Linked DNA regions of Ovis aries. The protein of the gene in region 1 purifies or fractionates together with the protein of each later gene. This does not show direct contact. Links are inferred from orthologs where the notes say so. Each region holds a gene or a part of one and is shown on either strand. Other genes may lie near its edges.

What was found.
Region 2: the proteins of SLC38A9 (region 1) and LAMTOR3 purify together in Homo sapiens (affinity purification with mass spectrometry; 3 studies listed by BioGRID and IntAct, with this or other methods). This does not show direct contact. The link is inferred for Ovis aries from reciprocal best matches to the Homo sapiens genes SLC38A9 and LAMTOR3.
Region 3: the proteins of SLC38A9 (region 1) and LAMTOR4 purify together in Homo sapiens (affinity purification with mass spectrometry; 4 studies listed by BioGRID and IntAct, with this or other methods). This does not show direct contact. The link is inferred for Ovis aries from reciprocal best matches to the Homo sapiens genes SLC38A9 and LAMTOR4.

What each region holds. Positions count from the first base shown.
Region 1 is NC_056069.1:23,717,258-23,720,908, reverse strand, and holds part of SLC38A9 (neutral amino acid transporter 9), read right to left. Parts: intron 2,573-3,651; coding exon 2,459-2,572; intron 905-2,458; coding exon 756-904; exon of another isoform or gene 697-755; intron 1-696.
Region 2 is NC_056059.1:25,128,252-25,131,902, reverse strand, and holds part of LAMTOR3 (ragulator complex protein LAMTOR3), read right to left. Parts: intron 2,921-3,651; coding exon 2,787-2,920; intron 1,512-2,786; coding exon 1,448-1,511; intron 1-1,447. UniProt on the Homo sapiens protein: As part of the Ragulator complex it is involved in amino acid sensing and activation of mTORC1, a signaling complex promoting cell growth in response to growth factors, energy levels, and amino acids.
Region 3 is NC_056077.1:36,680,900-36,685,123, reverse strand, and holds the start of LAMTOR4 (ragulator complex protein LAMTOR4), read left to right. Parts: upstream 1-1,385; 5' UTR 1,386-1,440; coding exon 1,441-1,443; intron 1,444-1,935; coding exon 1,936-2,016; intron 2,017-3,848; coding exon 3,849-4,151; 3' UTR 4,152-4,224. UniProt on the Homo sapiens protein: As part of the Ragulator complex it is involved in amino acid sensing and activation of mTORC1, a signaling complex promoting cell growth in response to growth factors, energy levels, and amino acids.

The DNA.
Region 1 (3,651 bases):
GTTTAGTTGGTTACAGCAAATGTAACTTTTTTCAAATTTTATCCAAAAGCTTTCTTCATTTAAGATAATTTATTCCCAATAAAATAGGTTACGACTAGGTACTTTTTACTAGAATAATCTATAATAAAACTTAATGTAAGAGTAGGCATTAACCAGGGGCCAACAAGGAAGTTTCAGTAAATGGAAACTTCTCTTGGATGAGGGTGACTAGCTTTGAACAGATTTTTCAAGAGGACTCAAACTCTTTCATCGCCAATAAGAAATTAAAAATTATAGCAATCGTTACAGAAGCAAATAATAATTTAAACTTGCTATGTATCTCATGTTCAATCCTAAACCATTACTGTTTATGTAAAACTGCATGAATGGTAACAAATATACAAGTAAATACCAATAACCAATAACTAAATGAGTTGCTTCTCTTTAGCCATACATTACTAACACAGGTACTACTACATACTGCTAACTTCTTGGCAAAGAGTAGATTAATAACAACTAAATCACAAGATAAATATAGTTGATATCAGAGCTAACATAACTACATGGGCAGGAATTAACTTTAAATCATTCTGGACAAGGGAGCGGCTTCTATTTTTAAAGCTCTTCTGGGAAAAGAACACCAAAGGTCTATCCTTAGTAATCGTTTTCATTAGGCAAAGTTTCATAGCAAAAGGATCAGTCACATTTTAAACTGACCTGTTTGCACAGTCATTTCTTGCTTGGCACATCTTGCTGGTCAAGAGAAGAGCCCTTACCTAGGATAAACGTCACCGAAGACATGACCCAATAGCTGGACGCGAGCCAAGTAGCCTAGGAGTGGATACACAGTCATCATCTGGAACAGCAGGAATATTCTTGCAATGAAGGACAGGATGTCACTGCTAGGGAAGTTGTCTAAAAAATTCTAATCCAAGAAAGATAATAAAGTAATGTTACAAATCAAATTTAATATATACAAATTTATAAAATGGAATTTTTTTGCTTATTTTGAACACAGGTGCCACCCAAATTGTATGGTTTCGTGGGCTGGTGCCCGTTCACAAACTATTTGCTATTACTCTTCAATAGCTAAGCACAGAAATTAAAAGTAAGTATTTAGAAACTTAAAGACATTTGACATTGGCATATTTTTGTTTTACAAAAGTATCAATCTGCAATTGATTTGACATTGAAACAACAACAAAGAAGACTTTGTTTACCACTGATAGTTTGAGAAGTAATGCTCTGTTAGTATATGAGGTTTAAGTATAAATTTGTTTCAATGCTATTTCATTCTCAATGATTCTCTTACTTTTTCTCCTCTGATGCACTGTAGCATTTTTAAAGATTATAGCATAAAGTGAGAGTATATCTATTACTTACTATCACTATTATCTATAGTCTATCAATAAAAAGAAAAGAAATTTTTTTCTACTTCCTTTCATGATTCTGTTCTCCATTTTCATTTGGCATCTAAGAAAAAGAAAGCCAATTACTCAGATTTTTTTTCCCTTTCAAATACAAATACCACAGATATTCTTATTCCCAAGGGAGTGGGCTTTATATGGGATTTTTCATATCAGGGGAATTTTCAGCAAACATTTGGCTGCCAAAGAACTTTTGGAATCAAGGAAATCAAGAGAACATTTCAAACTATCAAAAGAGCAATAACTCAAATCTATTTATCTTGAAAAGATGAGAACATTATTGCCACTATTATGCTGAAATAACTTTTATAATTCATAGGTAATAAATCATATTTTGTCTCCACTACACTCTTTTAGAGGAATTTCTTCTGACTGGAATGACAATCACCTGTGAATGCTACTTTCTCTGAGAACTTCTTAAGTCACATAAAACTAGAGATTATGCTATTCCCAGGTTTATGATGGGTCAAATCAAATAACAAATATTATTTATGGCAGCCTTTTAGTAAAAGAATGTTTCTTTTATTCTTTCTGTCTCTTCCTCTGTCTTTTTAAGAAATAGTCTTTCTTTGCTTTTATGCTTGCCACCTAGACCAAAATGAGTGTCAAATCTATTATCAGGGACTGATGAATTAAGAAACCAGTTTATTCAGGACATTTCGATCTGGACTTTAGAAAATCAGGGAACTGAATATAGTCTCTGTGAGGGTTTATAAATTCAAGACTGCTACTAGCATAATTATCCACACACAGAGAAAAATAAGCAAATAACAGGAATCATTTATTTGAGTACCACAGGTGCCAGCATACAGAAGGTTTTCTGAGAGACCTTCTAAAATCTATGGAGTATCTATTATGATATTTAATGGAAGAAGAAACTGAAGCTCACAAAGAATGGGGAAGGTGCCTGAATTCCCACATGTATGAAAATAGAAGAGACTGGATTCAAACCCAGGCCTGTCTGGTAGTATACATTGCTACTGTATCATACTGTTTGCCCTGCAGATATGAAGGTATAAACAATCACACAGAGAGGGTACACAGTGCCTTACCTGCTCTATACAATCTTTGGATAATGGTGGTGAAGGAAATGAAGCAAAAACCAAGACTCCAATATAGAGATAAGTTAATGTCACCAGCATATAAGCAATGGACAAGTCCCTCACCTGTAAACAGAGAATAAAATTCCCACAATGATGAATAAATTTTTAGTAAGTATGTCTGAATAGGCTAAAAAATAAGTGAAAATGAAGTCGCTCAGTCGTGTCCAACTCTTTGTGACCCCATGGACTGTAGCCCACCAGTCTCCTCCGTCCATGGGATTTTCCAGGCAAGAATACTGGAGTGGGTTGCCATTTCCTTCTCCAAAATAATAAGACTGACAAATAAATGTAATATTTATCTTTTTGCTCTCTCTGTGTAAATATACATCTCCTAGGTATCCAGGTTGCTCAGAGACATTTGTTAAAACAAAATTCACATACTTAACAACTAGTCTGACAACTTTTTAAAAACTATCTGGAGTATGAAGACTAAGTTATCTGCTGGCAGGCTTAGAAAGTTAACATAAATGGTGGTTTATCATGATTGAAATTTGGACTTAATTTTGAAATGCAATTTATTTACCAAATTATAAAATATTTAACTAAAAAAATAAAGCTAAGGGACAACAAGAAATCAAGAATAGGCTGCTTTCTGTATGACCTATGGAATTAAAAAAATTTTTTTTCTTTTAGTGAATTAACTTTGTAGATCATCAAAGCATACCTAGACCAAAAGAGACTGGTATATATTAAAATATATTTAATAAAGTACGAAAGCTAGTTAAAAAGCAGACAGTAAGCAGGTATTAAAGACAAGCTTAATAAACCTAAATAGTAAACAAAAGGAAATCAAAAGGCAGCTGTTCAAACAGCTGCACAATGTTATGATTGGAGCCAGTAAACAAATGCAGAACATTAAATAAAGTGGATTGCTTTCTTCCACTGCTGTTCCCACCCTCCCAACCATCCCCATGCAAAGTAAAAAGCTCCAAGATATTTAATGGAGCCAGCTGTTTGATCCAAACAGAACAGATCCCACAGCTCATAAATCTGGTCTCCATCACCACAAAAGTTATGGCCAAACAATTCAGCACAACTAAATTATGGCAATAAGCTTATTCATTTTTCATTTTAAACACAAATTACTTTGAAAGCTAAAAAAACAGATAAGAAAAAAATTATATACAATTTTGCTTTAGTTT
Region 2 (3,651 bases), on another chromosome or scaffold:
ATTTGCACCAATTCAAGAATAATACACATGATTTTTACAAAAAAAAAAAAAAGACCTTTTCCTGACCCAATTTTAATGAACTTTATCAAAAAACAGATAGATAGCAAAGAAATAATCAGATACTTATTATATAAATTCAGTAAAGCTAAGGCACAAATGGATATTTCAAAGGCAAAAATGTTTTAAAGATGCCTCACAGGACTATAAAACACACACTGAAAGAAGCAAGCTAATCTAGAAATCAGCACATCCAGCTTGTTAGTTTCCTAGGGTAGAAGGCTATATATCTTAAATACTGCTTGTTTTTTGCTCAACTAAAGATCTTCTTGTCTCACACAGCATTCAAAGCACCTGGGATTCACAAGGAAATGTTCTACGTACTAGAATACAATTCTGGAGATTATCATAATTTATAACAACTGATGATTTTATAGTATGATAGTGATTTACCACAACTGAGGTTTAACATATTTAAAATACCGACACCACTACTATCCTATACAAAGAGTTTTCACATACAGTATTTTACGGTTGAAAACATTTAGAAATGAAAGACACCCAACAGTTCATTAAATCTAAACCCCACATTTTAAACATGAGCAATCTAAATACAGGCTTCAGTGATACAGTCAGAAACAAAACTGGCTCAAATATCTTGGAAAGAAAAAAACAGAACAGAAAAGTAAAGCAGTGCTAACAGTGGTGAAACCTGGAGACAGACCTTTAAAAAATTCCACTTAAACTAAAACAGAGTAAAAAAAAAAATTGTAATTCAACTGAATACTGTTATGATTTTACACAAAAATAGCCAGTGAAGACCACTGGATATAATGAGATCTTACAATGCTCTCTAGAAAGTACAGCTTCCAAGTGTTAGCCCTCAAATTCTTCCACTTTGAAAAAAAATTGAGTATATTCATACTAGTCACACTCTTTAAATTCCCAAACACATTTACCTTGCCCACTATTGTTCAAAATTTTATAGATCGGTCCTTATGGACCTGAATTCATCTGTGATCATTTTTATGTTTTGTTTGGTTATTTTCTCCACTGATTTTTTTTTTTTTCTGGCTTTCTGAAACTGTTGTAATGTGAGCAAGATACTGTATTAAAGAGGTGAAAATAACATTTAATTTTCCTATCGTAAATGATCACTTATCTATACATCATCTCATCTGAACTAAAAAAATAATAGCATAAGATCAAGAAAGCAGTTCTTAGCTCCATTATACAGATATAAACAATACAATATTTGTTTATATAAATAATTGTTTATAATATATAAACAATTCAGAGAAGTTATATTTCCAGAAAACAAGGAATAGATGGTAGCGCTGGGCCATGCATTAAGGTTTTCTTACTCTAAATCTGTATTCATATCATATTAGACTGTTCAGATCCGGTATTATAAAGATTAAAAGCTGTATTTAAGGTAATTAAAACATACCTGTATTAGCATTGCTGCTGGCTATGAAACTCACTACCAAAGGTAAACGATTGAATTGAACCACCTAAAAAGAGAACAAGATCTAAAGTATAATGTTATATAGTGAAAAAGTGGTATAATTCAAATCAAATATCTTAATCTTTCTAAAAACTTTAAATGTGTAAGATACTAGCTTGACATCATGGTATTACGTCATGAAAGGTGAAAGAGCTGAAAATAAGTATTTCCGTAAAACAGACTTACTAATTATCTCTTAGAGACATTAATATCACTTAGTCTGGAAAGTTTCTAAGGTGGGGCTGTGTCTTCCTCATCTTTTTTTATCTTCTAAAGCCCTGCAAAGTGTCAATTACATAGTAGGGGCTCAATAAATATTTGATAATTAAGGAGCTAAAGGCATTATTTCTCAGTCATTCAAGTGGTTATAACGTCTCAATCTTTTGCCTCCTCTGTACCACTATAATTTAAATTAACTTACATTTAAGTTAACTTAAAATCAGCTATCTTTTTAAAAAATTTAGCTTCAACCTAACCTTTACTGACTAAATTAAAGGTCAGATGAGCTGGTTATCTTCTGCCTAATAGATACTAAAATACATAACCTTTAAAATAAAAAGTAACACATATGTATCATTGGTAGTGCATGACTTACACCCTGGGAAACTCTGCTCTATGGAAAGCAGTGTATGCTCAATTGCTCAATACTGGAGTGAGTTGCCATGTCCTACTCCAGGGGATCTTCCCGACCCAGGAACTGAAACAGTGTCTCTCATGTCTCCTGCACTGGCAGGCAGATTCTTTACTACTGTGAAGAAGTTACTGATTCATTCTAAAGAAAATACAGCTGGCGATCAAGAGATCTGTAGCAACTAATTTCTCTCCCACAAATAATAACCTCATTTATTTTATATATTTATATAATCAAGCCAAAAGATGGGATTAGTAGCAATAACAAATGTAAATAACTATCGTTTGACTTTCAAGGAAAATCCTGTATCTGTCACAACAACAACCACTGTGTCATTTGAGAAATCACAGTTGTTAAATAAGCTAAGGGCACCATCTACTGGAGGTATTAATAACAGTGACCTGACTTACCCTTTTGAGGATAATATATATTTTACTATTCAATCTTTTAATCTAATTGTTCATATTAATTCCTGAAGTAAAATGTGAAAAAAAATCACTACAGTTTAACATAACCAATTTGAAGGTGAAGATGTTAAAATTCCATCACTTTGGAAACCAAAATTTAGAATTATTAAAACAAACTATTCTACAAAGAAGAGAGAATAATAGTTGAAATCATCAGCAAACCATTTGATAATTATGAACTTACCTGGTAGGTGTTATAGTAACAGATGATACTTTTATTTTTTGAAAGTCCGAGTTTGCTCCCTTGGTCTGTCGCAAGGGCAAAAGTTGATAAGAAACCAGGTCTCAAAGCATGCTCTGGAGCATTATCATTGGCCACTGGAAATACAAGTGATTTAAGTAAAAATTATGTAGGATATACAGCGAGAAGACATTTAGAGTATTTAAAAAAAAAAAAACACATAAACTTGTAGAAAAAAAAAGCACAAGAGTTACGCTTCACAATGCTGAAGTTCATAATACTAATTGGGTCTCATCAGTTTAGGTGAGAAAAACCATTCAATCACAACTAAGGGAAAAAATACTGGTTCTCACAATTTTTCAAAAAATTTCAAATGAATACTAACCATCTCTATCTTCTTAATATCTAACTTAAAACAGGTTATGATTATCAGTACAATTAATAAGTTGAATATTCTGGTTAACTATGAGCTAAGTGAGAATATTGGAAAAAAGCTTTTAACCTTTGCTCTTACAAAACCCACAGAAGCATCATTTGTAGATGATGATAATTCTACACCTGGCCACTGATTTAAGTTTTTTATACTCACTGAAAGGTCTATGTGGAGTTGGTTGTACCGTAAGTGCTGAGCTTAAGGTTTTAACAGAGATCCTCAAAAAGAACACTGGAGCTGGAAAATCTGAGATTATTTTGTTCAAAGTCCTCGTTATGGAACTGAGAAAAGGAAGTGATTTGCCCATGGCTACCTATGTTCTGTGCTGGGTTAGGAAGCATACTGGATCACATATCAGAAGATGATGGGTTCTATGACCATCTTGTCACTGACTCATGAGCAACTTGGAGCTGACAATCTACTCTTTGCACTTGA
Region 3 (4,224 bases), on another chromosome or scaffold:
ATTTTCCACAGTTCATTGTGATCCACACAGTCAGCGGCTTTGGCATAGTCAATAAAGCAGAAACAGATGTTTTTCTGGAACTCTCTTGCTTTTTCGATGATCCAGTGGATGTTGGTAATTTGATCTCTGGTTCACTTAGCATGTTTTCAAGGTTTATCTGTGTGATAGCATAGATCAGTACTTCACTCCTTTTTACAACTGGACAATGTTCCATTGTATGGATATGCCGCATTGCTTTATCTGGTCTTCAGTTTATGAATATTTGGGTTGCTTTCCATTTGGGGGCGATTATGAGTGATGCTGCCATAACATCTGTGTACAAGTTTTTGTGTAAACATAGTTTTCAGTTCTCTTAGGTATGTATGAAGGAGTGGAATTTTTAGGTCCTATTTAACTTTCATTTATAAATATAGTAACTCTATTTAACTTTCAGAGGAACCACCAATCTGTTTCCCACTACAACTGCACTATTTTACATCCCTACCAGCAATGTATGAGAGCCCCAATGTCTCCAAATCCTCATCAAGCTTTTTTATTAGTTTATCATCATTTTGCCTCACATTAATATTGCAGCAGGTCTAAAAACTACTTAAATTAAAACAAAAAATTTCTAAATGACACTCATATATTTAAAAAATTACCCCAAGGTCATTTTCTAATTATTCCTGGCAGAGAATATTCAGTATTGCAGCTGCCTTGGCTGCTGCTGCTGCTGCTAAGTCGCTTCAGTCCTGTCCGACTCTGCGACCCATAGACGGCAGCCCACCAGGCTTCCCCGTCCCTGGGATTCTCCAGGCAAGAAGACTGGAGTAGGTTGCCATTTCCTTCTCCAATGCATGAAAGTGAAAAGTGAGAGTGAAGTCGCTCAGTCGTGTCCGACCGTTAGCGCCCCATGGACTAGGGAGGTATAATGCTCTATCACACAGTTTCTTACAGAATCCCGGGACGAAAAATCGCTTTGGAACAAATTCCTGTCAGAGAGCTGCCTGAAGTAGGCACAAGAGTAGCATCTGAATAGCTCTCTATCTACGTCTTTTGGCTCGCTCAGGATTCCACTTGCGAGCCACCTAGCCTTGTTGGAGTCTGCCCCCGCCGCCCCCGTGTGCGCAGGCGCAAACTCTCAGCCCGGCCTCCCTCCGGCCCCGCCTCCAGACCCGCCCCCCGCCGACACGCCCCCCTCCTTCGCGCTCTGGGGCTAAGGGGAAGGGAGATGAATGTTCAAGAGGATGTGCGGCCAATGCGCGAGCGTCTCGGAAGCGGCGCTCCGCACTGGCAGAGTAAGTCTGATGACGTAGCCACTCTCCAATCGGCATCCTGGGGGCGGGACTAAAGTCGGGCAGGGCAGGGCCGGAGGAGGAGACCGCTGGGTGGAAGCACGTGACCGCGGTCTGGAGCCGGAACTAGGTCTGGCTACAAGCTCCCCCAGCACCTAGAGCTGCGATGGTAAGTGAGGACGCATGCGCGGAGTTACGCGCCGCGCCGGCGGTTCCTTACCCCTGTCCCCCAATCTCTTTGGTTGCGGGGTCCTGAGCGTGCCCTCCGGCCTCACCTCCTATTCTCCCTGGGACTGGAAGGAAATGGAGAAGGGAGGGGTGGTGACGTAGAAGGCCAAGGAGAAGTCGCTGGGAGGGTGTGTAGAAGCTGGGGACTAGTCTGAGGGGGAGGCGCAGGCCACAGGTGCGTTTGGGGAGGGGGCCCTTGGGGTAGCAAAGGTGACGTGTGGAAAGCTGGTGGCGCCCGGGCGGAGGAGAGGACTGACGGAGGCTCAGGAGCATCAGTGTTGAAGGCCGTGTAGAGGGAAGAGGGTCTGGAAGGGCCCTGGCTGGGTAAAGAGGCCTGGAGCGGGGGCAGGGGGCACTGTCAAGAGAGGCACTCTGGTTGCCCAAGGGCCATCCTTTCGGCCTACTGCTCACTAATTGCATCTTTACCCACCAGACTTCGGCACTGACTCAGGGGCTGGAGCGAATCCCCGACCAGCTTGGCTACCTGGTGCTGAGTGAAGGCGCGGTGCTGGCGGTGCGTTCTGGAAACGGGAGGGGGGGTGCTCCAAGTACACATGACTCTAGGATGCCTTCTAATGTTGCCCTGTTTGGCCCGATTGGTCTCTGTTCTTGTCTTTCCCTGGTATCACGCCTGGCGTGTAGGAATTAAATCAATTAATCAATCTCTGGACTCTCAGTCTTGTAACTATCCTGAGGTAAAAGAGGTTTACTGACTTTACCAAAGTCAAGCAAGTTACAGGTTTGTTGATAACTGACAATCCCCAAGTTACTCTTGAGTATGTCTTTATTTGGTATTTATTGAAGAGGCTTGGTATTTTGTTCTGTAGTACAATACAGTGTCAGCTCTAGAAGTTTTCAATCTAGCTAGAGACAAGGCTTAAGGCTAAAAGTTCAAAGTAGTGCATGTGGTTAACGCAGCTGAAGGAGTCCAGAAAGTGAAGGATTCAGCCCTTCATACTATAACTTGTGTTTTGGCAAGGAACCTTCCTTGGACGAGGTAAGAATTCATCTGGGCTTAAAAGATGGATGGATGACAGGAAAGAAAGAATATTCAGAGTTGGGAGGTGGACATTTTGCAGGAGTGTAACACCAGCCTATCTGAATTGGTGATGGGGTTATGTTGAAAAGATTTGGAAACATTTGGGGGAAGAAGAGGATATGGTGAGGAAAGGTCCGATTGTGAAGGACTTTCAAGGCTAGGTTAACACATTTGGATTAATCTTGAAGGGTTTTTGAACAGAAACAAGCTGATGAAGTGATTGAGTAGCATTGTTCTGTTAGGCGTAAAGGTAAGACAGAAGGGGCAGGATTCAAAAGCGGGGATGCTGTTGCCAAAATGTAGGTATGAAACCTCTGGTTGCAATGAGAAGCAAGGAGAGAAGGGGTTTTTAAAGGAAGAATTGGTTTGTCTTTGTAATGACTAGAGTTCAGTAATAAAGGGGATACTTTTCTATCCTGTAAGACTTTGACCTCAAGCCTAGAATGATGGTGCCTTAACCAGCAGGGACTTAAGAAAGGAAGTTGACTGGAGAGGGGGAGAGATAGGGGGGATTTTGATAGTGCAGCTTTAAACACTAAGTTTGATATAGAATAATAGGGTAAACTCCAGGAGTTAGTGATGGACAGGGAGGCCTGGCATGCTGCGGTCCATGGGGTTGCAAAGAGTTAGACACAACTGAGCAACTGAACTGAACTGAATAGCCGTTAAATAGATAATGCCAGGAGCTAATCTGAGCATCTTGCCCCAGTACTCTTGTGACACTCACAAGCACGTAAGATAGGTACTGATGTCCCCAGTTTACAGATGAGGAAACAGGTATAGAATCCAGCAGGAGGGCCACCTTGAGGAGGTAAGAAGTTGAGATCATTACCAGAAAAGAGGAAGCCCAGGCCACTGTGACGTCATTATTCAAGGGCCAGGTAGTCCGAAGGGGTTCAGAGAGAAAAGGGATGTTTATGTTTCAGGTTCTGCAGACAGGGTGACAAATGAGAAATGGGAAAAGATGGAGCCTGGGACTCTAGCTGTGGTGGGTGGGCACTAATCTGTAAGAATGTGATTTTTTTCAAATAAGTGGAGACAGGGAGAGAAATGAAGATTCAGGGATTGGGGAAACAGGGTCAGTAATGGACAGAAATGGATGAGAGTTCCTACTTCCTCAGGGAAGCCCAGTATTTTGGAACAAGATGGCATCAAGAGGGGCAACAATATCATAGGAAAGTTTTAAGTTTTTCCAATACTAGGGGTGATGTTGCAGTGTTGGAAAGTGGAGACAGGTTACACAGAAGGGTTCTTGGAGTTGCTTCCCAGTCTGTCCCTGATTCCTGCCCCCCTCCCTCTGTGTGCAGTCATCCGGGGATCTGGAGAATGACGAGCAGGCTGCCAGCGCCATCTCTGAGCTCGTCAGCACGGCCTGCGGTTTCCGGCTGCACCAAGGCATGAGCGTACCCTTCAAGCGTCTGTCGGGTGAGCCCCGGCCTCTGGTAGTGGGGAAGGGGGGTGGGGTGCTGCTCCCCAAGGCCACTCTTCTCAGGGAAAGACACCTGTCTCCTACCAGCTGCCCACCATCTCCTCTGGAATCCTTGTCTTCCCTGTGGTATTTACCCCTGTATCAGAACTATGAGAAAAGCAAGAGAAGGGAGGGGATTTAATGGAGACCTCCCATCTTCTAATCTCTGAGCTTTGACCTGTTGAATTCCTTTGGCTTTGGATCCTAGCCAGTTT